4 linked regions of the Saccharomyces cerevisiae S288C genome follow. The protein of the gene in region 1 interacts with the protein of each later gene in a biochemical or structural test. Each region holds a gene or a part of one and is shown in the gene's direction. Other genes may lie near its edges. The genes, in order: LSB3, LAS17, ACF2 and ERT1.

Region 1 (7,286 bases):
GATAATATTATTACGTAGAATTCTCTTTTTTGGATTCAGGATCAGTGAGGACAGCTTCTAGTATATTCTGCATACCTAAATGCTATTCTTTTTTTTATCAATTTGATTTACTAAATGCTATTTATCCCAAATAATCCATATAAGATTTTAATCTAGATGGAGGGTAAAAGCGCGGAAACATGAGTGTAAACTGATTGTGCAGATATTTACACATTTGAGTAGCTCGTCAAGGGCAATCAAGCTTTCAATCTTGCCGGTTTCATACATGTTGATAAGCTAATGAAACTACTAATGTCTTGCTGTAAAGTAAACCTGTATCATTTCTGTTTGGAAGATTTCAACAAACGTTCGGGCGTGTGGCGTAGTCGGTAGCGCGCTCCCTTAGCATGGGAGAGGTCTCCGGTTCGATTCCGGACTCGTCCATTTAAATTTTTTTATTTTTTTTGTCAAATCTCTCTATCTATAGAGATAATCTCTATCAACTCAAATGATACTGGATATTATATGTACATTTTCCATTTCCCGTACAATCTTTCCCTTTCAAACACATTTTAGTACTTCTTGATACGTACAATTCAGTAAAAATCCTCGAGGTCATGCACTCACACCATTCACACTCCGGTGACTATAGTGCCCACGGTACGGACCCTTTGGATTCCGTGGTCGATCAAGTGGTCAACCTCAACTTTCACACGTACTGTTTGACAGAGCACATACCAAGAATTGAGGCCAAGTTTATATACCCCGAAGAGCAGTCATTGGGCAAGAATCCTGAGGAAGTCATAACCAAGCTAGAAACATCGTTCAAGAATTTCATGAGTCATGCGCAAGAAATCAAGACTCGTTATGCTGATAGACCCGATGTGCGGACTAAATTCATTATAGGAATGGAGATCGAAAGTTGTGACATGGCTCATATCGAATATGCAAAGCGACTCATGAAGGAGAATAATGATATTTTGAAGTTTTGTGTGGGTTCGGTCCATCACGTCAACGGGATCCCTATTGATTTCGACCAACAACAATGGTACAATTCATTGCATTCCTTCAATGATAATTTGAAACATTTTCTCCTGTCTTACTTCCAATCACAGTACGAAATGCTGATCAATATTAAACCGTTGGTCGTGGGTCACTTCGACCTTTACAAATTATTTTTGCCCAATGACATGCTAGTAAACCAGAAATCGGGCAACTGCAACGAAGAAACCGGAGTTCCTGTAGCTTCACTGGACGTCATCAGTGAATGGCCAGAAATATACGATGCAGTTGTAAGAAATTTACAATTTATAGACTCCTATGGCGGCGCAATTGAAATCAATACGTCCGCATTAAGAAAGCGCCTCGAGGAGCCGTACCCCAGCAAAACCTTATGTAATCTGGTCAAGAAGCACTGTGGATCCAGATTTGTTCTAAGTGATGACGCACACGGCGTGGCGCAAGTGGGTGTGTGCTATGACAAGGTAAAGAAATACATAGTAGACGTGCTACAATTAGAGTATATTTGCTACCTTGAGGAAAGCCAATCACCAGAGAATCTGTTAACTGTAAAGAGATTACCCATTTCGCAATTCGTTAATGATCCCTTTTGGGCCAATATATAATCTGATTATCTTGAACTGGATGTACATAAAAAAAAACTGTCATATAAACTCATGTACAGCTGTGTAGAAGTGAATGATCTTTCCAAGAAAAAAATTTCACACTGAATTGATTGAATTGACTGCTCATTTTATATTGGGTGCCCAAATTGTCTTTCTTTATTGTTCGTTTAGTAGCAGCACCCTGTTTGCTCGCCGACTCGGCCGCATCTGGAAGTTCAACATGAAAGAGTATAAACTATCGAAGAAATCTAGAACGGCTTTGGATCACGGGTGGCAAAGAAATCAAAAACAAAAGCTGTATCACACGCAATGGGTATTAACAATCCTATTCCAAGGAGTTTAAAGAGTGAGACAAAGTATGTTTTATACGGGTTTGGCTGGGAAACCTTTAAAAAAGTTCTCCCTTAATTTGTTCATCATTTACTAACTAGTAATAAACAATTAATAAAGAAAAGCAGCGAAGATTTTGGCTAGTTTTGTCAAACCAAACCAAGTTTTTGGTGCGGACCAAGTCATTCCTCCAGACGTTTTGAAAAGAGCTAAAGGGTTGGCTATCATAACGATCTTAAAAGCAGGTTTTCTATTTTCAGGTAGAGCTGGTTCTGGTGTGATTGTCGCAAGATTAAAGGATGGTACTTGGTCAGCTCCATCTGCCATTGCCATGGCAGGTGCTGGTGCCGGTGGGATGGTTGGTATAGAATTGACTGATTTTGTTTTCATTTTAAATACTCAGGATGCTGTTAAGTCGTTTTCTGAATTTGGGACCATCACGTTGGGTGGTAACGTCTCCGTTTCTGCTGGGCCTCTTGGTAGAAGTGCAGAAGCAGCTGCATCAGCCTCCGCCGGTGGTGTGGCTGCAGTTTTTGCCTATTCTAAGAGTAAAGGTCTATTTGCAGGGGTTTCTGTGGAAGGTTCGGCTATTATAGAAAGAAGAGAGGCTAACAGAAAATTTTATGGTGACAATTGTACCGCGAAAATGATTTTGTCTGGTAGGATAAGACCGCCTCCAGCAGTTGATCCATTGTTTCGTGTTTTAGAGTCCAGGGCGTTTAATTACAGACCCTCCAACGGTGGTCGTGGCAGTTTCGATGACGACGAAGACGATTACTATGACGACGACGATTACTATAATGACATTCCTAGTTCATTCAGTTCTACAGATGCTTCCTCCACTAGACCTAACACAAGATCCACAAGGAGAAGAGCCCAAAGCGGTTCTCGTTATACGTTCGACGATGATGATGACGATGATGATTATGGTACTGGCTATTCAAGGAATTCAAGACTGGCTCCTACCAACAGTGGCGGTAGTGGTGGTAAATTGGATGACCCATCTGGAGCTTCAAGTTATTATGCCAGCCACAGAAGATCAGGAACTGCTCAGTCAAGGGCTCGTTCTTCAAGAAATCGTTGGGCTGATGATGAATACGATGATTATGATGATGATTATGAATCCGGGTATAGACGCGGGAATGGAAGAGATAGGACAAAAGACCGTGAAGTCGATGACTTGTCGAACAGATTTTCTAAATCTAGAATCTCGTCCGCTTCAACACCGCAAACTAGTCAGGGCAGATTCACTGCTCCAACATCCCCATCCACGTCTTCTCCAAAGGCCGTGGCATTATATAGCTTTGCAGGAGAAGAGTCCGGAGATTTACCATTCAGAAAGGGTGACGTGATCACAATTTTGAAAAAATCAGATTCTCAAAATGACTGGTGGACCGGAAGAGTCAACGGTAGAGAAGGTATATTCCCAGCAAATTACGTTGAACTAGTTTAAAAAATTTGAAGGAGAGTAAAGAATACGAGAAACGTTATTGATTTACACTTATACCTTTTGCCTTACAGTTTATCAGCACTCGGACCTAAATACATATCATATAGCAGACGGCGTCCCTCTGTCTATCCTTTTAAGAATTTTTTCCATAATAATAATTTTTAATAATATCTAAATATAACGAAAAAGATTGAATTAGTGTAAATAAAAAAAATAAATAAGGAAAACTCTAGCTAAATTAACAAAGAGACATTCATCTTTTAAATCCTAACGAGCTTGCAGCCTCTTCAATTTGTTTTTGCAATACACCTTCATGATATGGACTACTATTTAGCAACGATAAAAATTTGTCCAATATTAACACATCGCGATTCCAATAAGTGTCGAATATATACTCAGCTATTCCGTGCACATTTTCGTCTCTAGTGGCACTTGGAAATCTCATGAAATCTATACCTCTTCTTACTTGCTTTTCGAATGTTTCCAAAACTTTCTTATTGAAATTTTTATTCTTTATTAGTGATCTTGTGCTGCTATTCATTGACGAAAGATCTCTCATGTGTGGGGAGTTCAAACTATTCGCATGTGAGTACTGGTAATATGGGGTAATTTGTGGATGAGAAGAGGTGTGTATATTGCGCATTCCATAACCATCATGATATTTAGGTGCATTATTTTGTCTTTCCCAAGATGTCGTGACGATGCTTCCTCCTACTAAACGGTTATTCAAAAAGTTAAATATTCTCGTAGCATCTTCAAAATTCCTGAATTTGATGAACCCAGAATATGTAGAAGAATTTTCGTCATATCCATCTATCTGAATCTTGAACGGTCTAATATTTTCTTGGTGACATAAATATTTAAGAAATTCCTTATTGCAGACAGCGCTTAAATTTTCCAGGAAAAGTGTAGATATTTTTTGAGATTCTATAAATTTGGCTCTTTCTTCTTTATCCTGTGCCCTGGTTACTAAAAGCTTTTTACCTCTGAAATAAAAATTATTGTAGCGTTTAATTGCCTTTTCTGAGTCACTGCTATTTTTATATGTAACAAATGCCCAAAGATATTTAACTTTAGTGGCATTGGATAGATAAATTGACTTAATTGGACCCACTTCACTGAAGAAATTTAAAATATCATCCCTTGTAGTTATTGTTGGAAGGTTTTTGATGAATATAGAATTTTGGGATGAAGAGTAAATATTTTTAGATTCCTTATCATTCCCCTTGGAGTGTTTCTCATTCAAAGATTGCTCTTTTTCAATAATTGTTTCCGCATCTAATCGTGATTTTTGTGTTTCAAAATTTGGAACACTTCTGACCTCTTTATCAAAATGTATTCCACATAGAATTTTCTTACCAAAAAAACTGGTATTATTGTACATTTTGATCACATTTCTCGCAGTTTTTTCGTCCTCAAAGTAAACAAATCCTATATCTTTCCTAGAGTCTAATTTGCATGATAGAATTTTACCATATCTAGAAAACGTATCATAGAATACTCTTGTTGTTAATAATGGATTATTTAGAGGTAGATTAGAGAAAAAGACATTAGTGCCGAAATTCTTTCTAAACGTTGTATTCCTCAATGATGGCATAATCCTAATTTCTTTACCATTAACCTTCGTGTAATTTAATTCTTCCATAGCCTTTTCAGCTTCTTCTTTGTCTTCAAAATTTAAGTAACCATGGCCCAGTGATTTTTTTGTCACTGAATCAAGACAAACTTTAGCAGAGACAAAAGAGGGATATTTTTTGAAGATCCCTTTTAAAGTTTCTTCAGTAACTGTTTCATGGAGGTCACCAATGAATAGCGGAACTAGTTTTTTACTTTCAAAACTTTTCAATTTTCCATTCTTGTGACCGGATTTGTTGTTGTTAATTCTCAAAAATTCAGGTGAATCAGAATGGCTCGAACTTGACGATCTGGATGTTTTTTCGTGGTAGTCGTCTGGCCTAATAGGAGTAACTACGGGGTTAAATGATATTTTCTTTTCTTGATCTTTTTTTACTTTCAAATCCTGGTTTTTCAAAATATTCAGGGGAACCATACTGAGTATAGAAGGTTTTTTGTTTGAAATAGAATACATGTTTCCTCTTGTAGGTTGAAATTTTTTTTGTGATACTGATTCTCTCGTTATTATTGGTTCGTTCAATTAATGAATAATTAGTTTGATTATTTTCCTCTTTATTTGACCTTAGGAACAGTTTTTAAGGTATACTCTGAACTGCAAATTTTTGTCATAACTCTTGGTAATCAAGGCTAGAAGTGTACTATTTTTGCTTTCTGCACAAGGCTTTTTCTTCGGTACGACACAAAAACAACTATTGTGTCGCAGTCCATAGAAGGAGCAAGAAAAAAGAATGTCTTTAAAGGCGAATGTGATTCTATGCTTTCTAGTACCTACTGTGCCGAATAATGTGTAAGTCTCAAAATTCTTTTCTTCCAAAGCATATCCATAATATTTACCTTACGCTGGGTATTTTTTTTTTGGTCACTCCAGATCTAGTTTTTTAAAACTTGATCCCAACGTAACTAAATATAAACAAGACAAAGCTCGAAATAATATAATGTAATTTAGCGAATGTAGTGTTTATATCACCACATTTGGAGAATGTACAATGAATAGTTTCTCTGTCTCTAATGGAATAAGAATTTAATTTCAAGATTTAATTACTTTATGGTGGACCATTTATCTTATGATATCTAGCAAATCAAAGGATCCCTCAAACTGAAAACCAATAGCAGGATCGACCTGACTCTTTTCAACAATGCAGTGGATTTTTTTGAACTTATACTGCCGCACGCCAAACATTGCATTTATCCCTTTTTCTTTAAAATGCCAGTTAGAGTGCGTAAATGCTATATACATCACTTTCTATATGAAACTATACAAGCTTAATGCACGAGCCGAAACAATATCGGCGACTATCGTTTGTTACCCTTTGATAGAAAACCTCCCATAAACCCAGCTAAAGAAGTAGCCCTCCGTCTTGTTGGTGACCTTTTCATACTATTACTGGATGGGTTATTCGAAGTTTTCGAAGTTAACTCATTAAGTGTATTAAGAGATACCCCACTAGAACTACTTCTAGAGCCATTAATTATGGAAATAGGGGAAGCAGTGCTACTCATAAAACTAGAGGAATGAAAGCTAGTTGGTATAGAAGATGACAATGTTGTCGAAGAGTTCCTGGAATGTACCCTACTGGGTTTTCTTGGTTGCACATTTTGTATCGCACAAGGGTAGGAAGGAGGAAGGTCCTCACCAATGATATCATATTTCATTGCCTTGCCATACGATGGAACCTTGTTCAGGTTTTGAGTCTCTGGATAATTTAAGCCCGAGGGCACTGGTAACACTTCATGGGCTGACACGCTTGGGGCTGGGGATCTTGAAAGTAAAACAGGTGATACGTTACTATGTACTCCTGGCACAGAGCCACTATTGGGACCAAGAGCACTCTGAGGTAAGATTCTCTCCGTGCCATCCTCTGGTGCTGGAACGTTTAGTAATGGAGATAGCGATCTGGAAGCGGCAGCAGACGAGGCAGACGGTGGTAGCCCTAGATTGTCACGTTGATTTCTAATTTTTGTCAACCGTATACGTAAATCTTCTAAATCCTGTTGCTGATCCTCGACAGTCGAACATTCGCTTCCCAAAGGAGTACATGTTCCAGACGTTTCCACAGCCGTGCGAGTGAAAGAACCGCTATAAAGACGATCATATACGTGCATTTCATAATTTGGGGGCGTCATCAAGTCTGAAATGGTAGGAACAGAGCCACCGCTACGCATATCCGCTAATAATTCCAACCCTGTGACTGATGCTGATCTAGAAAACAGATATTCCTCTTCCTCTTCTTGTGATGAGTTTTCGTCTTTCTGGTTAGTGGTGCTAA
Region 2 (7,862 bases), on another chromosome or scaffold:
GCAATTTTATCTCCGTTTCCTCTTATTTTTTTCTTGTTTTTCTTGCTTTCTTCCTTTCCCGAAGAAGAACATCCGAAGTTAAAAAAAAAAATCTCAAATTTGAGACTATTTTATTCTATCGTTGAATGAGTGAATTTTGTAAAGAAGTAAGTGAATTGATTAGATAAAGCATGTTTATCACATAAAGTCTTTTTTCATAGTAGCAACGATGCTTGATACCATTATGATTTATATCTTTTATCCCCATCGTCGGTTATCTAAAAATTAAAATCAAAAAAAATACATAATCATTGTATACTACGATATCGCCTTTTCGGCTAGATTTCATATGCATCCCTCTCGGAAAACAACAACAGCACATATGCATAAAACCACTACTTTTAAAGACTCGACTTTGAGTGGCCTGGGTTACACAACTTGCGATATTTCGATGTTTTCTTCCCTAAGCGTCGCAGTTGAACAAAACATCGGCTAAATTCTTTTCTCTTAGCAGAAACTTCATAGAGTTCATTAATAGTGATGGCTCCTTTTAGGCTAGGGACCTTTTTCTGAAGTTCTTTCTGTCACTATCCTCCGCAACCGCCTTTAAACTATTGAATGATTACTTTGCTAGGCCAATTTTTTTCGATCATTAAAATAAATTCTGAATATACCATGAAAATAAAGTTGCGCTTGTGACCTTTTTCGAGAAACACCATTTCACTTGATTTTGCATAGTTATTAGCGAAAATAGCACGATTTTTTTTTTTTCGATGCATTTTCCCTTTGCTCTCCTTACCTGCAAGGTTAGCGCAAGCAAAATGTCAAAGATGCGTCTAATATAAACATGTATATATAGTCCAAGTGCATTCAAGGAATACTATCGTAACAACTTTTTTATCCTCCTTCGATTATGCAGTATCAATTGTCGAAGAAAAAGCTTAGGTCACAATATGGTCGAAGGACGGCATATCATGATTCTAAGAATGCCTTTCTTTCTAAAAAGATGACGTTTGGTTCTATTTCAGTTATTCCCAGTTTGCTACCCATTTTTCTTTTCATTCCTCGAATACTTCCAACAAACATATAAAAATTTTCGTAATCGTTGACCTATTTTGGGGAGTTCCTTTTTTCTTCTTTAGAACTCCCTTTGGTTATATTTATTACTACGCAGATTTCGAGTAGTTGTCACATCAAACAGAATAAAAGGGGTATTGTAAATTTACTGACTTTTCCATCAATCCCGTATGAATGGATGGCTTACATATCTTGGAACGCAGACTTCGAAATTAAGTATTTAGGAGTGAGAATGTGCGTTAGCATTTTGTCTCATATCTAAATATTCAAGTTTAACTTGTATTATTTGTCCTCAGTACAAGAGGTGTACGGCTTTTGAAAGTCCACTCCCCCATTTTTATCCGGATCTCTGCCGCTGGATTCTATTTTGTCACAAAGTTTGTGCCTTGGAGAGCGCCGTTTGCCAGCCCGTCATCAGTAGGACCCTTTTGTGCGGCTGCCAAATTTTCTAGAGATACCGCCGCGGCCGCCTCTTGTCTGGAAGAATTTGCATTGCCAAGGAAATTGATTCAGTTCATTAAGTACAGTTGTGAAGCACTTTAGTTACTTAACATGAATGACAGTTTTATTAGGTGTAAAAAAAAATCCTTTTTTTCAGAGAGCTATTTGTAAATATTATATGAATATTAAAAAACATCCTTTTTGAGTAAGAATTCCTATGAAACAAAATGGAACAATTTCACTTATATTGTAAGCGGATTTTACAACAGATATAAAATATTGTGCGCCAACATTAAAGTATTAAAGAACCCGGAATTTAACAATTGCAGAAGTATGATCGTGTAGTAGATTTTTTATGTTAAAATCCTATCTCTAAATGCTATATTATTATAACTTGTGGCGCCTGTTTCCCTCTTGAAGCTGTTTAAATCTTTTGAATGGCTCGCCGCTTGCCCAAAAAGGCAAGGTTCCGTTAGTCTCCATTGCTTGTGCTTTGATAAGCTTCTGTTTCATTTCACTGTGTAACAATTCTTTCATACCTAGTACACTTTTCGGATAAAGCCCTTCTAAATTCTGCTTTATGTCCTGAAGAACTTTTTCATTGAATGTTTCAGTATTTGTCAATTGATAATTTTTTGTAATAATAGTTCCTATCAATTCTTTAAATAGAACTGGTGTGCTGAAAATCATATGTTCGTTTGCAGAATTTATACCCAGTTTTTGAGTTAAGGTAACAGAAGTTCCCACTTCTGCGACAAAACCGAGATTGCTGAAGGGAAAAAGAAGAAATACTGAATCGTTTTGCGAGTAAACAATGTCACAAAGAGCAACTAGCGATGCGCTAAGTCCGATGGCCGGTCCATTCAAACAGCACACCAGAACCTTTTTATGGATTGCAAATGCGTTCGCCACAAATATGTTAGGAGAGCTTATAGCAGATACCAGCTTTGAGACTTTCTCCACTTCGCTTGTAACGTCTCCATCGTTTAGCTTGTTAACTGCTGAAAACTTACCTCCCGAGGAGAAATACTTGCCTGAGCTTTGTAGAACAGTAAACAAAACAGAATCAATATCGTTTGCCTTATGCAGTAATAGTGCAATGTATACAAAATCCTCGAAAGTTAAAGAGTTCAAATGTTTTGGATCAATTAATTTGATTATGAAAAAGGGACCATTAATATGGTAGCACACACGACTGCTCATAGTTAGAAGATAACTCACTAGACTTAACACCAGAAAATCCTACTCTGTAATAAAATAATCCCGGGGTAATGGATTGGATTTTTCTATCAGGATCGTTTACGTATATATAATACACTGTCGGAGTTTAGCGCGCTTACAGCCGCTACTTGTGGAGTCCTTTTTTTTTTTTTTTTTTTGGGGTTTCAGACATCCAGTAAAGAATAGAAACAAGCAACAAACTTCAGAACTGAAACAATGCTTTTTTAAGTTATCGCCTAAATATATTCAAAAAATATAGATATGCTAGATTTTCAATTATACCAAAGTTCATATTTTCAAAATGAATGTTAACAAAAAGACAAGTTGATGGCCCTTTTTCATAAAGTATGCGTTTAGTTTCAAGTAACGCCGGCTGACGTGGACGATTTATCAAAGAAGTGGTTTTGGAATACTCTTCTTTTGCAATTAGAAAAAAGGCAAAACTAAATGCAATGCAAGCAGTTGCCCATGGTACTTGAAATTGTGTCTCTGGTTTAAAAGATCTATGATATAAGTCTTAACTGATCTTATAGTTGTTTTTTTTTGAATTTTCCAAATAGTTTATATGATCATTGAATACGTGCGAGACGTCCGAAAAGGGGCCAGTCAATACCTATGAAAAAAAATCATGAATATGTAATAATAAATATTGAATGTAGAATATACATAGTAGAAAAGGAAGTGCTGTAGCGATTGCCATCTCCGCTACAAATTACAGTTCGTTACTTTAAGTGTTGATAGGCGTGATTTAATATGGGACTCCTAAACTCTTCAGATAAGGAAATTATCAAAAGGGCTCTACCAAAAGCGTCGAATAAGATTATTGATGTTACGGTGGCTCGACTATACATTGCATACCCTGATAAAAATGAATGGCAGTACACTGGACTTTCAGGAGCTCTTGCTCTAGTAGACGATCTTGTGGGGAATACTTTTTTTTTGAAATTAGTTGACATCAATGGCCATAGAGGAGTTATCTGGGACCAAGAATTGTATGTGAATTTTGAATACTATCAAGACCGTACTTTTTTTCATACATTTGAGATGGAAGAATGCTTTGCAGGTTTATTGTTTGTAGATATTAATGAAGCATCGCACTTTTTAAAGAGAGTTCAAAAGCGTGAAAGATATGCTAACAGGAAAACTTTGTTGAACAAAAATGCTGTAGCATTAACCAAGAAAGTAAGAGAAGAACAAAAATCTCAAGTGGTGCACGGCCCAAGAGGGGAGTCATTGATTGACAATCAAAGGAAAAGATATAATTATGAAGATGTGGACACAATTCCAACTACAAAGCATAAGGCTCCTCCCCCTCCTCCGCCAACGGCCGAAACATTTGATTCAGACCAAACAAGTTCATTTTCCGATATCAATTCGACAACAGCATCCGCACCGACTACCCCAGCCCCTGCTCTTCCTCCTGCATCTCCTGAAGTAAGAAAAGAAGAAACGCATCCAAAGCATAGTTTACCGCCTTTACCAAATCAGTTTGCGCCATTACCAGACCCTCCACAACATAACTCTCCACCTCAAAATAACGCGCCTTCGCAACCCCAAAGCAATCCATTTCCATTCCCAATTCCTGAAATTCCCTCGACACAGTCTGCAACAAACCCATTTCCATTTCCGGTACCTCAGCAGCAGTTTAATCAAGCTCCTTCAATGGGCATACCACAGCAGAATAGGCCCCTTCCACAGTTGCCTAACAGAAATAATCGGCCTGTGCCACCTCCTCCGCCAATGCGTACCACTACTGAAGGTTCAGGTGTTCGCCTACCTGCTCCTCCACCTCCGCCAAGGCGTGGGCCAGCACCACCGCCTCCACCACATAGGCACGTAACCAGTAATACCCTGAATTCTGCCGGTGGAAATAGCCTCCTTCCACAGGCCACTGGAAGAAGAGGGCCAGCACCACCACCTCCTCCAAGAGCATCTCGCCCCACACCAAACGTTACGATGCAACAAAATCCACAACAGTACAATAATTCTAACCGCCCCTTTGGATATCAGACAAATAGCAACATGTCATCTCCACCCCCTCCTCCAGTGACAACTTTCAATACCCTGACACCACAAATGACTGCAGCAACTGGACAACCTGCAGTTCCCCTTCCTCAGAATACTCAAGCACCTTCGCAAGCCACAAATGTGCCAGTGGCACCACCACCTCCTCCGGCATCTTTAGGCCAGTCGCAGATACCTCAGTCAGCACCCTCAGCACCTATTCCGCCAACGTTACCATCGACGACGAGTGCTGCACCACCTCCGCCACCAGCATTCCTAACTCAACAACCTCAATCTGGAGGAGCTCCAGCTCCACCCCCACCTCCTCAAATGCCAGCTACATCAACATCCGGAGGCGGTTCATTCGCTGAAACTACTGGAGATGCAGGTCGTGATGCACTTTTAGCTTCAATTAGAGGGGCAGGTGGCATAGGCGCTTTGAGAAAAGTTGACAAATCGCAGCTAGATAAGCCCTCAGTTTTACTGCAGGAAGCACGTGGAGAATCTGCTTCACCACCAGCAGCGGCTGGAAATGGAGGCACACCTGGTGGACCTCCGGCTTCTTTAGCAGATGCGTTGGCAGCAGCTTTAAACAAAAGAAAAACTAAAGTGGGAGCTCATGACGATATGGACAATGGTGATGATTGGTAATGGAATGCAAACAAAGATGAAACTACTGTTATAGAAAATATGTAATTTTATGTACTCACTATTAATGATCAAAGTAATTGCTCTTTTTATGTATAGTTTCTTTAATCGGAGGAAATTTTGATATAGGTTCAAAGGCGGTCAGTGATTGAATGATCAAGGTAATAGTCGGGCTACAATGATGGCCATCCCTATGGCCGTTTCAAATGTTTGAGAAAATGATGTATAGTAAATCCTAGATTTTAGCAGTTCGAATCAAAAACCCATGTAAAAAGGGTAAATATTTCCTAATTATAATATTTTTGTTTAATTACACATGTAGAACAATAAAAGTATAGAATTTTAGATAGTATCTATTGGACAGATGGACCTGGGTTCATTCTTCTCTTACCGTTAACCAAGGTAACGTTAACGAATCTTCTGGTGTACAATAATCTCTTGTAAGCACGACCCTTTGGTTTCTTTGGCTTTTCAGTTTTTTCAACCTTTGGAGTTTGAGACTTAACTTTACCAGCACGAGCTAGAGAACCGTGAACTTTAGCCTAAGGAGAATTTGAAAAAAAAAAAATTTTTCATTTAATGTTAGTAATGAGATATTCAGACTTGTGTTATGGAGTTACTGCAACGCAGACGCTAATTTTTTAGGAAAGGTCTATATTCAACATGTTGTGAATATTAACGAGAATAATCGTCCTTTGAAATTCTCGTCTTTCTTCCTTTTTTGTACATTTACATCTCAACATAATAATGATACAATATTTTATTTTCTTTTCATTTTTCAGTCATTATCTACAGGCATTTGATGGATTATTAATATTATCATGGGGCAATCTTTCCTATTCAAAATATTACTTTGATCGTAGTTTTCCCTTTTAATACACCTTCTTCCTGTATGGGGACAAGTTTCCTAAAAAAAGCGTTTCGTGGAGCATTTTAACACAATATTAACGTACCATTTTGTATAATTTGTTTATCTAGTATCTTGAGGAAGGAGTGCTAATTCAGAATCTTCATCCTTAATATTGAAGATTGGGATGAGATTACTTCACCATGGTGAATACGGGACAAAACTAATTGGAGGAAAATGCAGCATAGATGGGAAACTCGGTCACCCTTGCCCGCTAAGCAGAAGACGCAAAAAACATCTGCGCGAAAAAGAAATGGGTCCACAATATGTACGGATGTATGGTCCCAAAAGAAAAGCCATAATAAGGACAGGAAACCCGGATGACGGCATTAATTTACCTGACACCGGCCGAGGCACCTTAACTGCAGCCACAATTTGGTCACGAGCTTACCATTCAAATTATTCTTACCTTGTACGCCCAAAAGTAGTGACTCTTTCTAAGCATCGCGAATTAATGACTACTTTTCTTTTATACGTTTTATATGTATGTATATATATAAGTGCCTTCATAAAATAGACAAAGACATTAAGGAGCCTTTGAAATTACTTAATTGAACAACACAGGTCTAATTAGTTGATCAATCATCGATTAACCATTAGTGATAAGAAACAATGTCTTTGGAAAGAGAGGAACCACAACATTTCGGAGCAGGGCCAGCTCAAATGCCTACACCAGTTTTGCAACAAGCTGCTAAAGACTTAATCAATTTCAATGACATAGGTTTGGGTATCGGTGAAATTTCTCACCGTTCGAAGGATGCCACCAAAGTGATTGAAGACTCTAAGAAGCACTTAATCGAACTGCTAAATATTCCTGACACTCATGAAGTGTTCTACTTGCAAGGTGGTGGCACTACTGGTTTTTCTTCCGTTGCTACTAATTTGGCAGCTGCATATGTGGGTAAGCATGGGAAGATTGCACCTGCCGGTTATTTAGTCACCGGTAGTTGGTCTCAGAAATCTTTTGAAGAGGCAAAGAGATTGCACGTTCCTGCTGAAGTTATCTTCAACGCTAAAGATTATAACAATGGCAAATTTGGTAAAATTCCGGATGAATCCCTTTGGGAAGATAAAATCAAAGGTAAGGCTTTCTCATACGTGTACCTATGTGAGAATGAAACTGTTCATGGTGTTGAATGGCCAGAATTACCAAAATGTTTAGTAAACGACCCCAACATCGAAATTGTTGCTGACTTATCCAGCGACATTTTGTCTCGTAAGATTGACGTTTCTCAATACGGTGTCATCATGGCAGGCGCCCAAAAAAACATTGGTTTAGCAGGCTTAACCCTATACATTATCAAGAAATCCATCCTTAAGAATATTTCTGGCGCTTCTGATGAAACATTACATGAATTGGGAGTACCAATCACCCCTATTGCATTCGACTATCCAACGGTGGTGAAGAACAACTCAGCCTATAATACAATTCCAATTTTCACTTTACATGTTATGGATCTCGTGTTCCAACATATTTTGAAGAAGGGTGGTGTTGAAGCGCAACAGGCTGAAAATGAAGAAAAGGCCAAGATATTATATGAGGCATTGGATGCAAATTCAGATTTTTACAACGTTCCAGTGGATC
Region 3 (8,175 bases), on another chromosome or scaffold:
CAGGATAAAGTGACAGATTCAGTTATACATTATGGTTAATAATTCACAGCATCCTTACATCAAAGATGGATGGTTTAGAGAGATTAATGATAAAAGTTTTCCGGGCCAGGCCTTTACTATGACCGTGGACTCAATACTTTATGAAGCCCGCAGTGAATTTCAGGACATCTTAATCTTCCGTAACAAGGTATACGGTACTGTTTTGGTCCTCGATGGTATTGTCCAATGTACGGAATTTGATGAGTTTGCCTATCAAGAGATGATCACCCACATTGCCATGTTTGCGCATTCTAATCCCAAGCGTGTACTTATCATTGGCGGTGGGGACGGAGGTGTCTTAAGGGAAGTAGCCAAGCACAGCTGTGTAGAAGATATCACTATGGTAGAAATTGACTCATCAGTGATCGAATTATCCCGTAAGTTCTTGCCCACATTGAGTAATGGTGCTTTCGATGACGAAAGGTTGGACTTGAAACTTTGCGATGGCTTCAAGTTCTTACAAGATATAGGTGCTTCCGACGTCCATAAGAAATTTGACGTCATTATTACAGATAGTTCTGATCCTGAAGGTCCAGCTGAAGCGTTTTTTCAAGAGAGGTATTTCGAACTATTGAAAGATGCTTTAAATCCTAATGGCGTTGTTATTATGCAAAGCTCTGAAAATTTTTGGTTAAATTTAAAATACTTACATGATTTGAAAAATACAGCCAAAAAGGTATTTCCTAATACAGAATATTGCTATACCATGGTTCCAACCTATACATCTGGCCAATTAGGTTTAATTGTTTGCAGTAATAACGCCAATATACCGTTGAACATTCCGCAAAGAAAGATATCTGAGCAAGAACAAGGGAAGCTGAAGTACTATAATCCTCAAATACATTCTAGTGCGTTTGTTTTGCCTACTTGGGCAGACAAGGTCATTAATGAATGATTTATTAGCATTGATATTATTATTTTAAAAAGTCTATTTACTTGTATATTTATCCGAATATGCCATCAATGGCTGATTTGTTCTTCTTTTTCCTTTTCTTTTTCTTCTTACAGTTCTCTGTCAGAGGCTTTGGTATAGACGTTATCACTAGTTCGTTTTCTTGAACGTTGTTGCCAATATCTTCATCTATAATTTCTCCAAGTTCTTCGACATCGTTCACAACCGATTTTGCTTTTGTTCTCGGTAAGTTCTTTATTAAGCATCCACATCTTATAAACTCAGTTTCATTAATCTCCCATAATCTCATATACAGTGCCCTCACATTTGCCAGCAATGTTACTAGTGTACAACCCAACGTTACAAATTGTCCCAGCGCAATTACGCCATTGAACTGCCAGTACCATCTCTTTAACTGTCTAAAAAGTGCTCTCTGTAATAGCCTGTGCAACTTGACCCATTCAACATCTTTAAGGCGTTTGGCTTGTAATCTTCTCGAGCTAAAAAGCGTTATTATTTGTCCACAATTTCTTTTCATCTCATTGAACGATCCATACCAGCTAGCCGCTCTATGTTGATTTTTGTTCCTATGGTTCAAGAGCAATATTAACCGATATTCTTGCTCCAGAGATCGTATCACATTATCCATCTCATCCATTTTGTTTCTGCTCTTTTTTTTTTTGTGGATATATCATTCTAGTACTCATTTCTTTGAAGTTTTTTTCTTGGAACCATAAATAAAATTCATGAATTTCTGAAAAGTGCTAGTATCATAAAAACAAAAATAAATAAATACGAGAAGTAAAAAGATGTGTTACAGTAGGCAAGCCATTCCTCCACCTGTTCCTAATAGACCTGGCGGTACTACCAATAGAGGACCTCCTCCCTTACCACCTCGCGCAAATGTTCAGCCACCAGTTTGTTCTTCTGAGAACTCCAGTAAACCTCGAGAAAATAGGGTGGCAGGTGAATCACTGCGCACACCAAGCAGTTCTAACCCTTTAGCTGACAGCCAGGTGAATAGTGACAATATTTTTCAATCACCTGTCCTTTCTAACTTAAAAGCTCCTCCTTCCGTCTTCAACAAAGTTCAACACCCGGTACCAAAGCCGAATATTGATGATCAATCTGTTGATCCATTGGAGACAAACAAGTTCTACACAAACATGTTATTAGACGATAATACACAACCTATATGGACACATCCTTATTCAATTTGGTTTTCTCGTGATCCAGAATTGTTTGGTTTGGCCGCCAATCATACTTTAGCGTCTCAAAGGGTTTTTGATACAACTACAAATCCTCCCAGATTCTACTTCAATCCCACAAATATAAAATCATTTGTATTCAAGGCCAGGGAATTTGTCTCTTCAAATGATATCAAGCTTGAATTCCGGGATATGAAACATATGTCCATGTGCTTACTAATGTCTTTGAGTAGTTCCCAGTTTATAGAATTCCCGCTGGTTCAGGGGATGGGCTTTGTCACGGCTATTTACCACGATTTGGGTTTTGAATTAAGAAGCGCCGTTGGTTTCAGGAGCTTAGAGCGCATAAGCGTGAATGAAAGATATGGTAAATATAATATACAACTTGAGAATAATAGGAATTGGATACTTTATTTGACCTCACCTGATTACTCTTTTCCACAAGATTTTCAAATTTCATTACTCGACAGCAATACAATAATATCATCTCATAAAATCAATGGTCTTATCTGTCAATTATCTGCAGACTCCGTCCCCAGTATTGACATGGCAGCGGGCTGTTATCCAGTATACTGTGACCTATCAGGGCAAACTGTTGATGAACATTTCACAAATTACAGATTTAACTATACGGTTGCAGGCTACTCGCAGTCTGGAACTACTCTAATGTATGCTTTACCACATCATAAAGCGGCATTCACACCAGAAATGCAGGAACGTGAAATTGCCTCAAGCCTGGATTCCACAGTTAAAGGCTTAATGACTGGTTATCTCACAAACAGTTTTGATATGCAGGTTCAAGTACCTCAAGAATTGGGCTTTGAACCTGTCGCGTTATCTTTGAATAAGAAGGCAGATTACAGTCAAGAAAAGCTATCTAAAATTCGGGAAGCTGCTGTTCAAGAAGTTCAATTGAGTGACCCTCAACAAGAATCAAACATAGATTCTATGTATTTCTCTGGTAAGATACTTGCAAAGTATGCGTGGATTCTTTATGTGACACATTACATCCTTCATGATGAAAATTTAACAAAAGAATTATTATCTAAACTGACTATTGCAATGGAGAGATTCATCAGCAATCAGCAAGTCTTACCTTTAAATTACGACGTTAGTTGGAAAGGCATAATTTCATCAGGCTCTTCTAGCCAAGACTTTGGTAACTCTTATTATAATGATCATCATTTTCATTACTCTTATCATGTCATAACGGCTGCCATTATCTCTTTAGTCGATTCTGATTTAAGTGGAGTTACTAACAACTCCTGGTTAGAAAATAATAGAGATTGGGTTGAGTGCTTAATTAGAGATTACTCTGGTGTTGACAACGATGATCCGTACTTCCCTCAATTTAGGTCATTTGATTGGTTTAATGGCCATTCATGGGCCAAAGGACTATTTCCAAGTGGTGACGGTAAAGATGAAGAATCTACTTCAGAAGATGTCAATTCTTGCTATGCGATAAAATTGTGGGGGTTGGTAACTGGAAATTCTAAGTTAACTGACATAGCGAACTTACAACTCGGCATCATGAGAAATGTTTTCCAGAGCTACTTCCTATACGAAAGCAATAATACTGTCCAACCGAAAGAATTTATTGGTAATAAAGTTAGTGGTATTTTATTCGAAAATAAAATTGATCACGCCACGTATTTTGGCATGGAGCCTCAATACATTCATATGATTCACGCCATTCCTATAACATCAGCATCTTCATGGGTCAGAACACCAAATTTTGTCAAAGAGGAGTGGGAAGAAAAAATGCAGCCGATAATTGATCAAGTGAATGACGGTTGGAAAGGAATAATCATGTTAAATATGGCTCTGCTTGATCCAAAATTTTCGTACGACTTTTTCAGCCAACCTGATTTCAACAGAAATTTCCTAGACAATGGGCAAAGCTTAACTTGGTCTTTAGCTTATTCAGGTGCTTTTTCTTAGGGGTCAGAAATATATACAGTGTTAGTAGCATGGTACAAGTGTTACGATAAGGTATTTTATAGAATGATCATTTTTTTATATGAATATTGGTTCCTAAACCATCATCAATAATCAAATTATTACAGAACACACCTTAATTGTGCGGCGTATTCTAAATTTTACGTGTTCACAATATGGTGTTGTTCCTATGATTTGCTAACATATTTGGGATCTGTCTATCATTTACACCGCCAGGAGCGTGGACAGCGTATATCTATTAAGTTTATAAAATATAAGGCCTACATTTGGAGTTAGGAACGAATATGCAACCCAAAGCGGTGTTCTTTACCACGGTAATCAAAAAGTTTCTCCACCGGATAGTATCCAATGTGATGGTGGAAAGTGATGATTTCTTTGGGATTATAATAGAGGGTAATCTGGGCTGATTTTGGGGTTTTTTCCAAGATAAGTTCTAACTCCTCTCTACTATCTACAAATCCCGTAATAAAGTTTCTATTATATCCAAACGCACTAACTGTAGTGTTATGAAAACCTTCAATATTCAAATTCAATTTCTGGAATACGGTTGAAACATCATCATTCTCTTCCCTTTCTTTCTTGTCGGAATCATTATCGTCCACTATTAATCTCTTACAAGTAACACCACCAAATTCTGCAACAGCGCCTCTAGGTAATTCAGAAATCTTTACAAGAACTAGGCATTTTTCAACATCATCAGATTTGTCCATCCATAGATCTGATCTATGATTCATATTTGAACAATAAAACGCCCATGTTTTGATGACAGAGTCGAGAACCGATTCGTCTGAAATATAGCATGTCATGAGTAACTTTTCTTGAGCTCCTATTGTTTCACACAAAGTATCAAAATGTTGTAATGCCAAAACTATTTGGTCAGTGAGAGGTGTTCCTAATATTTCCATTGACTGCGGTACTAGTCCGATTTGCCCACTGATAAAACTGACTTGGTTTGCATCATCGTTTAACCAAGTACTTTGGGAATATGGTCCGATATTACATGGAGCCCAATATGAACGGCCTTGAACATGTAGTCCGCCCTTATTCTTGTTGATTTTTTCTTTGCCTGTATTTTTTACATCAACAACAACTGATAACTGTACGTGACAATCTTCTGGCAAGCACTTCGAACCTACGCATGCTCTTGATGGTGGCAAAGGTCCGTATTTTGACAAATCTAAAAATTCATTGTATATTTTGTTGATTTTTCCGAAATTAGACATATCTCTAATTAATAATGACGCAGATAAAATATGATTCCGTGGAATCTGGTTGGAATGCAGAATGTCGGCTAGCTCAGTAAAAATATCTTCACTTTGCTTCTCGACCGTCTCACTTTTACGTGATTGTAGGTTAGAGATGTACAACTTATCATTGGTTTTATTGATTGTCGTTTGTGGTAGAGCATTCGACATGTGATTTTCAAATCTTTGTTCTCCTGTTTTAGCTTGTTGCTTTGGCAAATTTTGGGTTAAATCTTGCCAATTATTACCAAAAATCGAAGGTACAGGTAATTGATCTAATTGGTTGAGTAAAAAACTTTTGCTCAAATTACGCGGTTGAAATTTTACCTTTAACCTTGCATTGTGAACTTCACCATCGCTACATTTGACAATATCAATTAATTCCAAGTATCCATGTTGGAAAAAAGGGGCATCCAAGACCATTGTCTCAAACTCCCCACCCTCTCCACAGATATGAACTTGATAAAGTTGGTTAAGTTTCTGTAACACCGGTTGCATCATAGGCAAGGACATTCCTAAATGTTTCTCGTTCAATCCAATTGCTGCCACCTTGATTATCCTGGCGTCAAATTTATTTCCTGAATTAGTATCGTTTTCAACATTGTTAACATCCTTGGACATAAGGCACATTTCACCCATTAGTTCGGCTTGATCCCTTTGCCATAAATAGCTTAGCACTACTAGACCCAATCTGGAACAAACATTTTCCACTCTGGTCCTCTGGTAAGACGATAAGATGGCACCTACACTAACAGCTTCTAAATCTGGAATTTTATCTTTGACAGTTCTTAGAAGTTCAAATAGTTCTTCAATTTCATCATCCTGAGTAGCAGTATAATTCAACTCGACGTTGTTAGAAGTGTTCCGTAATATTGAGCGTCTAAATAGTGGAACACCAATACATTTAGAATAATAGTCTATTAAGTCATGTCCTACTGTTTGGAACATGAAAGAGTCTAATTCTTGCTCTTCTGATTCTTTTGGGTATATATTTCCCAGGGCAATCAATTCATGGTTGTTCTTCAGGCAGTGAAAAATATTGTAGAACGAGTCCTTCCCACCTGATATTAATGCTATAAACTTCATGATACTGACTTATTGGGCTTTGAATTTTGATATAGCTTTATCAAAGATTTCCGTTTGAACTAGCTATTCATCATCCATCAGATATAAGTGAAAAAAAGCTTCTTTAATAGAAGCTTAAAAAAATTCTCCGCGACGGGGAATTGAACCCCGATCTGGCACGCGACAAGCGCCCATTCTGACCATTAAACTATCACGGATAAGAAACACTGGAAAACTATGTATCCCAAAATCCCATACGTTGGTTTACTAACACTACTAGATGTATTATTCATAGGTACCCCAAAATCCTTACAAAGAGACAAGGCTGAGTGTATCAAGCAAAACCGCTTTAAATCTGATGTTCTGCGCTTTCTCCCTTTGATTAGATTCAGGTCTTATGTAGTTTATAGAAGATGAGTACCTTTCTTGTGCATAAGAGTTGATAATAAGCCTGACGACGACAAGCCACTTTCCTACCGATTTAGGATTGGCAAAACATCTGGTACTATTCGAACCCATAATCAATAGGAAGAAAGCTTTACCAACAGATTGTTATTTAAGTGGTTCAAGTATATTAACTCTTGATATCCGTGCGTTTACTTTACTATTAGTGTTATTATCATTACTTATATATAATATGTATAACTAGAACATCAGAATTATGTATGCATACTTTTTTTTTTTTTTGGTTTTTTGGTTTGTCTTTGAAATTGGAGTATATATTATAGTCCTCTCATAGGCCTACTCTTTTTGGAATCGACTTTGCTATGGCCTTGATTAATGGCCAGCCATTATCAGATCTCACAGCATCCCCGTTTTCTTGCAATCTTCTCAAAAGATAATCTTTAGTTTCCAATGGTGGGCCCCATGGGACATACTTGATTATGTTTTTAGCGCCATGGTTGGTAATTAGGTCATAGGTAACATTATCTGCCATACCTAGTAATTGCCCCAACACAATGTTCGATTTGGCATAAGAGTTGTCTTGGGTAGATTTTAGCAAATTAGTAACGAGCATTTGGGATTGGTAATTATGAGAGGCGACAACCAAGTGACCAAAATAAGAATCCTCGCCATTGATGATTAAATCATTGACAACTTGAGTGATGATACGATCGTAATTTTCGTCAGTGCCCGTTTTATCGCCAAAGATAATTTGGTTACGGTTTTTTTCAGAATGAATATAAGCACCACGAACCAGTTTCAGCCCAAGCTTATAGCCGTTTTCTTGGGCCAGCTTCAATTCGTGCAAAATATGGTCACCAGAGTCCCTTAGGTACAACTGCCAAGTACCGACACATGATATCAGTTTAGATGAAGTGGGATTGAATTTTTGAAATAAGATTCTCTGTAATTCGTAAACACCATTCTCCTGCAAATCATACTTCTCAGCGTCAATAGTGGAAACCATAAATGGGGCCTTTCTTTCAGGGTACTTCTTTAACAAAGATTGATTTAGTTCAAAAATCTCTTTTGTAATCTTAGAGCAGTTCTCGATCAGCTGATCCCTTTGAGCCTTGTAGGCGGGATTACTGAAATTGTACAGAACCTCGTGAGGGTTATCGACCAAAGCAGAGGGTTTTAGAGCGATATAACCTGGAGCAATGTCATTGATTGGCTTAGATTCCAGCTGGCCAATAATATTGGGCAGTAGGATGTTGTGGACAGAGCTGATTGTTTCCTTGACAATTTGGTCTACTGGAGTACTGGACAAACTCTTTGTACCTTCGGAATTTTCAATAGTTAATGAAAGCATCATGTTCGATAT
Region 4 (7,614 bases), on another chromosome or scaffold:
CTGTAAAACGAACTTGCTTGTGTAGTCATACGTCGTAGGCGTAATGTAAGGTTGTCCGAGAAAAGATGGGAAGTGTGAGGGATGAAATGGATTTCCCTTAAAGTTGCTTCCTGATTAAGGGAATAACAGGAGAACAAAAGTTGCTGAATATCTTTCTCTCTTGGAACAACAACAAAACACAGAGACTAAGGCATAACAAACTAAGTCATGGCTGAAACTGAAAGACTAATGCCTAACGGTGGTTCCCGCGAAACAAAACCGTTAATTACGGGCCATTTAATCTTGGGCACGATAGTTGCTTGTTTGGGGTCGATCCAGTACGGATACCACATCGCAGAGTTGAATGCGCCTCAAGAATTCTTATCGTGCTCCAGATTTGAGGCACCAGACGAAAACATCTCATACGATGACACTTGGGTTGGGCAACACGGACTCAAGCAATGCATTGCGTTAACCGATTCTCAATACGGCGCAATTACGTCTATATTCAGCATAGGCGGACTGTTTGGGTCGTACTACGCCGGTAACTGGGCCAACCGATACGGAAGAAAGTACGTGAGCATGGGCGCCTCGGCCATGTGCATGGTTTCTTCTCTGCTGCTTTTCTTTTCCAACTCCTACTTGCAGTTGCTATTTGGCAGGTTCCTGGTAGGCATGTCCTGCGGCACCGCCATTGTGATCACACCCTTATTTATCAACGAGATTGCCCCCGTGGAGTGGAGAGGCGCTATGGGATCTATGAATCAGGTTTCTATCAATCTAGGTATCCTGCTGACCCAAACCTTGGCACTCAAGTACGCAGACTCCTATAACTGGAGGTGGCTTCTCTTTTCCGGATCCGTGATTGCGGTAGCGAATATTTTAGCTTGGCTCAAAGTGGACGAATCTCCAAGGTGGCTGGTGAGCCACGGATTCGTCTCGGAAGCTGAAACTGCTCTGTTCAAGTTGCGTCCAGGAACGTACCAACAAGCGAAGCAAGAAATTCAGGATTGGCAGCGTAGCCATGGGCACAACCGCGACCCGGAGTCAAGCGAAGAGACTCATTCAGGACCCACACTATGGCAATATGTTACCGATCCCTCATACAAGAAACCGCGCACAGTTATACTCGCCATCTTGTCGTGCCAGCAATTTTGCGGCATCAACTCTATTATCTTCTACGGTGTAAAAGTGATCGGCAAGATTCTACCGGACTACTCGATTCAGGTAAATTTTGCCATTTCCATCCTCAATGTCGTTGTCACTCTAGCAGCATCTGCGATCATCGACCACGTCGGGCGCCGTCCATTATTGCTTGCCTCGACTACGGTGATGACCGCCATGTCGCTGCTGATCAGTGTAGGTCTCACCTTGAGCGTATCCTTTTTACTGGTCACGGCCACTTTTGTCTATATTGCCGCATTCGCCATCGGTCTGGGACCCATCCCCTTCTTGATCATTGGTGAGCTATCCTACCCGCAGGATGCCGCTACAGCTCAAAGTTTTGGTACTGTGTGCAACTGGCTTGCCACCTTCATCGTCGGATACCTCTTCCCGATAGGCCACGGCCTCATGGGCGGCTACGTATTTGCGATCTTCGCCGCCATCGCTGCCATGTTTGCTACATATGTGTACAAGCGTGTACCCGAGACAAAGGGCAAGACTACATACAGCGAGGTTTGGGCTGGCTACTGATCTGTAGCCAGTCATATATACCTAAGCAACTATTTTTTACTTCTTTCTAGCTATTCATCTGTTTTTTATTTTCTTCTTCTTCTAGTAACGAACGGCTACATGAGTATATGCACTCATTTAGTTAGTATCTATGTATATGTACGGAACTAGGCAAACCAAATGGATTGCTGTTGTATGAGATCCGTGTGGCGGAAACCATGACTACCGCTTGTACTGCCGGGGCCAAAATAGCACACGCGCGTCATGAGTCGCTCACGGGCGAGCGTCTATCTGCATATTTTCCTGAGCCCAATATTCGGTTCTGCGTCTTAGCGGCATAAATGCATCCGGCAGGACTGCCGAGAAAAGGAATATACAATGGCAGCCCTCTTGGCGCATTTGATGTATGCGGATTTCCAACCAATCTGCGAATGCATCCGTGCCAAAATGAAACGGCATTTAGCTTGAAAGAGTCGGAATTCCTGCATCAGATGGGTACCATTTTACCACAGTCTTTTGACTCACGCAGAGTACTCGCGTGCAATTGCTTGCAGGTATAATATATACATATATATATATATATATATATATATATATATATATGTACAATTTGTATGACAAGTGGGTGCACCTTTCTCGGTCGGAATTATATGGGGAACTAATACTACGGGTTAGAGCTATAACAATTTCTGCACACTTTAAAAGCGTTTTCATTTCATTTCACCACGTATATATATAGCCTATATATATATCCGCACTAGAACCAAATGGTCAATAGTAAGAGGCAGCAGAGAAGCAAGAAAGTAGCGTCATCCTCCAAAGTGCCCCCCACCAAGGGGAGGACATTTACTGGGTGCTGGGCATGCAGATTCAAGAAACGCAGATGCGACGAGAATAGACCAATCTGTTCACTGTGTGCCAAACATGGAGATAATTGTAGTTACGATATCAGACTTATGTGGTTAGAGGAGAACATCTACAAAGTACGCAAGCATTCACTGATCAGTTCATTACAGGCTCGCAAATCGAAATCGAAACCATTGTGCCAGAAAATCTCAAAATCAAGGTTTAAACAAATGACCCATTTTAGACAACTATCACCCCCGACAAGTGACTGCGAAGACAGCGTGCACGAGGCAAGTAAGGAAACTACGCTTCCTAACGATAATACATTCACCATAAGCGTACGGAGATTGAAGATATACAATAACGCTGTGGCCTCTGTCTTTGGTAGCATGACAAATAGAGATTATACTCAAAAGCGCATAGACAAGAAGTTGGACGAATTGCTTAATATGGTGGAAAACGACATATCTGTGGTCAACCTCAATTGCTCCAAACACGGGCCTTACTCAGTTTTCAGGGCCAATCCGGCTGCAGTTACCTCTGCTCTTACAGATCAGCTGCCGTCGCCGGGTCATTCGATGTCGTCAGCAGAGGAAACCACTACTGCAGCGCTGTCATCGCCGCCAGAAGACAGCACCTCTTTGATCGATATTATCCAAGGCAAAATTTTCGGGATCCTATGGTTTAATTGCTACGGGAACATGATATTGAACCGACAAGAATACACGACGTGGTTCATCAATAAGATGAGGAACTCGTTGACCACGGAATTCATACGCTTCCTTGGGAAAATAATTGACGACCCGGACATCAATATGGCCTCGTGCCTGTTCAAAGAGTGCATCGCTCGTTGGAGTTGTGTCGATTGGCAATCCATAGCTATAACAATGCTGGTCATCATTCATGGATATACCTGCCCCAACTTGACAAAGCTTCTAAGAGTGTGGTTTCTCCAGCAAAAGCTATTGAGATTTTCGATGTATCCGCTGGTCAACTTTATCATAAACAATACACAAGATTTAGACGTCCTGTACCATTGTAATGGATTGCTAGGGAATGCCGACTTATTCGAGGATCCCTACCAGGACGAGCTTACGTCGGAGTTACATGTCTTGGTCACGGAGCGCCTAGTGAATAGTTGGAAAGATACAATATTGCAACAACTTTGCTCATGTCAAGATACCACACTTTCATGTTCCCAACTGCGGTACTGGCAGCTACAACTGAAGTGTAATCAACAATTTTACAAGGATGTATATGCCATGCAGGACTAGGCTTATTGAGCCTTCCCTTCACTCATTTCAAGAAAAAAAAAGCCAAAAGCTTTGCTTGGATATTATACCCATTTTTAACGACATATTTTTTCCCACTACTTTAGATAGAAATTCATGATATTTTGTTTTATATTATATATGTATATATATATATGCACGAAAAAAAATTAAAGTTTATCACTGGGAGATAGGGTTTCCTATCTGCCAGGGTGAAACGTTTATTTTACTGATTTCTTTGTCTTTACTGACATTTATCGGATATCTATCTATCATTCTGAGCCTATGCTTTTTGTTAGCCGTAGACTAAAAAAAAAAAAAAATTGAAGGAAAAGAAATGAAAAAAGCAAATGAGTTGCAATTTTAGTATATTGTAAAAGAGTAACCACATAAAAAAACTAAACAAGAGCCGGTGCAACGGCATTACTCTCTTAGATAAAATTGCTAGTTATATAAAGTCAGGATACTCTTGAGCTATTTTTATCATTTCTTTTGGGTACAACAGACACACGAAGGTATAAAAATAAAATACATTGATGAATCATCGTGATGTGCACTCCAGATGAAAACGATTACAAAACATCAACTGACCCAGATACATCTGCAAATACAAATCATACTCTCGAAAAAAAGAAGAGAAAAAAGAGAAAAAACACAAACGTGGCATGCGTGAACTGTTCGAGATTGCATGTGTCATGTGAGGCCAAAAGGCCATGCTTACGATGTATCAGCAAGGGCCTCACGGCTACATGCGTTGACGCTCCAAGAAAGAAAAGCAAGTACTTGGCTGGAATACCGAATAGAGAGCTCCCAATGAACATACAACCGGACCTTCCACCCCGCAAGATCATGATACCCATTTATAACAACTCCAGCAATAGTAGCCTCAACGTAAATAACATGGGAGAACAGCAAAAATTCACCAGCCCACAACATATAGTTCACAAAGCTAAATTCCTATCGAATGCTGCAGATTCCGAGTACTCTATTCTGTCGAATATCATCTATCAAGACACATTGTCTAACAAGATCCCTATTGACATCCTGTACTCCAACACCAATTCCACATCCAACTCCACAATAGGCAATAGCAGTAACAATAGCCCTACGGGCACAAATACAAGCCCTGAAGAAACAGAAATGGAGAAAATTCGCCAGTTGTACAGCGAACAGCGAGCAAACATACCCCCACATCCGTATCCATCTTCCAATCAAAACGTTTATTCTATTCTACTGGGACCAAATTCAGCCAAGATTGTAGCTTCGCAAGTTAATCTTTTCGCGAACCATTTCCCCTTAGTGCCCGTTGATTCAGCTGATAATTCCTTAAACTTTAAAAGATTATTGCCACGGGACCCATCTGAAAAGAGCTCCCAAATTAATTGGGACTCAAGCATAAACCAATATTACTTGAACAGCGAAACGGTAACATTTCCCGAGTTGGCTATCCCCTTAAAGCGGAGGAAAAACCATTTGGTCTCTGTATCCCTGGAAAGCTGTTCACCAGACGCTGCCAACATCAAGAGCAATGTAGAATGGGAACATTCATTACGTTATTCTACTCCAATGGAAATATACACCTCCATAAATGCCCCCTTTTCGCATACACCTGGATTCCACCATCTTTTGGTGTACCTAAAGCATCGATTCAACCAGCAGGATCTGGTGAAGATGTGTCGGTCCATTGCCGAATTCCGGCCCATTTTCATTGCGTGTTCTGTAACTTTAACCGAGGAGGACATGATTTTTATGGAGCAATGCTACCAAAGAACTCTATTAGAATATGTAAAATTTATTGCACAAATCGGTACCCCGACATGTATTTGGCGAAGAAATGGTCAAATTTCTTATGTCAACGAGGAATTTGAAATTCTATGCGGATGGACAAGAGAGGAGCTACTAAACAAGATGACTTTTATCGTAGAGATCATGGACGATGAAAGTGTACGCGATTACTTCAAAACGCTCTCTAAAGTTGCATATAGGGACTTCAGAGGATCTGAGAAGATGAAAGTTTGCAGGCTCTTAAGCCCCATCAAGGGCAAGATAATTCATTGTTGCTGTATGTGGACATTAAAAAGAGATGTCTCTGGTTTGCCCCTCATGATCTTGGGTAACTTCATGCCCATACTCAATTGACTTTTTTTTTCTTTTTTTCTCATTTTACTACCTCGTATTATATAATACCTATGCATAGACCAAAAGTAAGTCAAGAACTGTGTTCTTTTAAAAGTGTTAACAGATTCCAGCAATTTTACTTGAAGCCTTGACCAGTTTCGTAGGCGTCTGCTCATTCTGGTCGATATCCAGAGGCTCGAGCACATATAACGAAGGGCCCCTATTGTGTATATGGCGGCCTTTACGAATCTTCCGATATTGGGTAGCTCCGTTTTTCTTCCCTTTTTTTTTTTTTTTTTCTTAAATTTCTTCTTCTTTTTTTGCTCTTCGTTTTATTTCACTCACCTGTTGTCGAAAAAAACATCAGGCGTATACCATCAAAAAACTCAACCAATTGAGCTAGTTTCACTTTCTGTACGCATGAGTTTCCAATGTCTCACAGGGCATGTCTCACACACCACCGCCTTCCACCTTACATAACGAACTGCGGAAAAACAGCATGCCACATGGTACCTAACTGGAAAAATAGCAGCAGTCCTCTTCATATTGTTTGCTTCGTTGTTCATTTTCTCGAAAAATTTCTCTTCTTTTCTTGCCTTGATAATATGTAAAAAAGCTTAAACTTTCAGGCAACTTTTCCCATATTGTTTTTCCGTGTGAAGGGACGAGTGCCTGCAGTGAACTGCTCGTACAAGAGAGGCAATTTCATAGATCCTCTGATTCTGCGGTAATTTCTCAGAGGACAGCACTCTGCACGAGCTTTGTGTGTGCACCAAAAGAAACGGGTTTCTTTCGGAGAAAAAAAGAAAAGAAAATTTTTTCAACCTTGCTCAAGTTATGCCATGGACATCTCGAAGAAAGTCAAAATAAGGCAATAAAGAAACTTTGTCGTTCAGCACTGAAGTTACATATCGCATTGGTTATATCTATAGAAACCCTTTTCCTTTCATTCTTCTCTCAGTTTTTTTTCTTGAATACAGTACGTTCTATAGTTGGATCGAGGTTTTAAAAACGTGTGATTAGCTTGATATTTCTTACTCTAATTGCTTTTCTATCTTGCAAATCTGATCCTATGATCCGTTTAGCTCAGCAAACACAAGTACTGAAGGGCAAACCCCCAAACCAGTTTGTTCCACATCCGACAAAGAATTCGCTGACTCATCCAATGAAATTTAACGGTACAATCGCTATGGAGCACCATGAACACAACTATGCCATTCCTTACACGCCTGCTACTTTTAACAATCCAGCCCTCGCTACTTATCAGGTAAGCCCAGCCAACCATTTTGTTCCTCACTTTGGTGGCAACATTGGAGCCAACAACAACAATCATCTAGCTCAGAATAACAGCAATAATAGTAACAACCATCATAACAATAACCGTAATCATCACCACAATAACAATCGTAACCATCATCAAAATAACCATAATCATAGCAAGTATAATAACTCCAATCAAGGTAATTCAATTAGCCCAGACTCCCCATGGTTTCATAAGGTTTGTGCCTTCGAAGATTGCGTTTCACAGACTCTTTATATGTCACAAACTCCAAGGCGTCAAAACATGAAACACCATTCAGAACATCCAAATTCTAACGCTAATCCATTATTTTGGGATTCTATAGGTAGAGCAATGGGGCTGTATCATGATCTACTCACTACACCGGAATTAAATTCTGATCGTGTCTCCAAGCTTGTACATTTACTTCACAATGGGTTGAGAGCT

Evidence for each region.
Region 2: the proteins of LSB3 (region 1) and LAS17 interact in a test that uses a peptide from one of them, tested with the Saccharomyces cerevisiae proteins (2 studies listed by BioGRID).
Region 3: the proteins of LSB3 (region 1) and ACF2 interact in a test that uses a peptide from one of them, tested with the Saccharomyces cerevisiae proteins (one study listed by BioGRID).
Region 4: the proteins of LSB3 (region 1) and ERT1 interact in a test that uses a peptide from one of them, tested with the Saccharomyces cerevisiae proteins (one study listed by BioGRID).

What each region holds. Positions count from the first base shown.
Region 1 is NC_001138.5:198,061-205,346, reverse strand, and holds LSB3 (Lsb3p), read left to right. Parts: upstream 1-1,913; coding exon 1,914-1,960; intron 1,961-2,054; coding exon 2,055-3,387; downstream 3,388-7,286. Other genes in the region: HIS2 (histidinol-phosphatase), read left to right, coding at 597-1,604; PES4 (Pes4p), read right to left, coding at 3,638-5,473; ROG3 (Rog3p), read right to left, coding at 6,313-7,286.
Region 2 is NC_001147.6:672,468-680,329, forward strand, and holds LAS17 (actin-binding protein LAS17), read left to right. Parts: upstream 1-3,471; coding exon 3,472-5,373; downstream 5,374-7,862. Other genes in the region: putative dodecenoyl-CoA isomerase DCI1, read right to left, coding at 1,885-2,700; 40S ribosomal protein eS30 RPS30B, read right to left, coding at 5,724-5,912, 6,324-6,326; FYV12 (Fyv12p), read left to right, coding at 6,405-6,794; SER1 (O-phospho-L-serine:2-oxoglutarate transaminase), read left to right, coding at 6,890-7,862.
Region 3 is NC_001144.5:425,582-433,756, reverse strand, and holds ACF2 (endo-1,3(4)-beta-glucanase), read left to right. Parts: upstream 1-1,740; coding exon 1,741-4,080; downstream 4,081-8,175. Other genes in the region: SPE4 (spermine synthase), read left to right, coding at 32-934; RMP1 (Rmp1p), read right to left, coding at 984-1,589; DPH6 (diphthine--ammonia ligase), read right to left, coding at 4,371-6,428; PUT1 (proline dehydrogenase), read right to left, coding at 7,141-8,175. UniProt on the Saccharomyces cerevisiae protein: Cleaves internal linkages in 1,3-beta-glucan.
Region 4 is NC_001134.8:696,649-704,262, reverse strand, and holds ERT1 (Ert1p), read left to right. Parts: upstream 1-4,319; coding exon 4,320-5,909; downstream 5,910-7,614. Other genes in the region: VVS1 (Vvs1p), read left to right, coding at 208-1,674; THI2 (Thi2p), read left to right, coding at 2,421-3,773; YBR238C (uncharacterized protein), read left to right, coding at 6,961-7,614. UniProt on the Saccharomyces cerevisiae protein: Transcription factor which regulates nonfermentable carbon utilization. Activator of gluconeogenetic genes like PCK1. Involved in restriction of Ty1 transposition.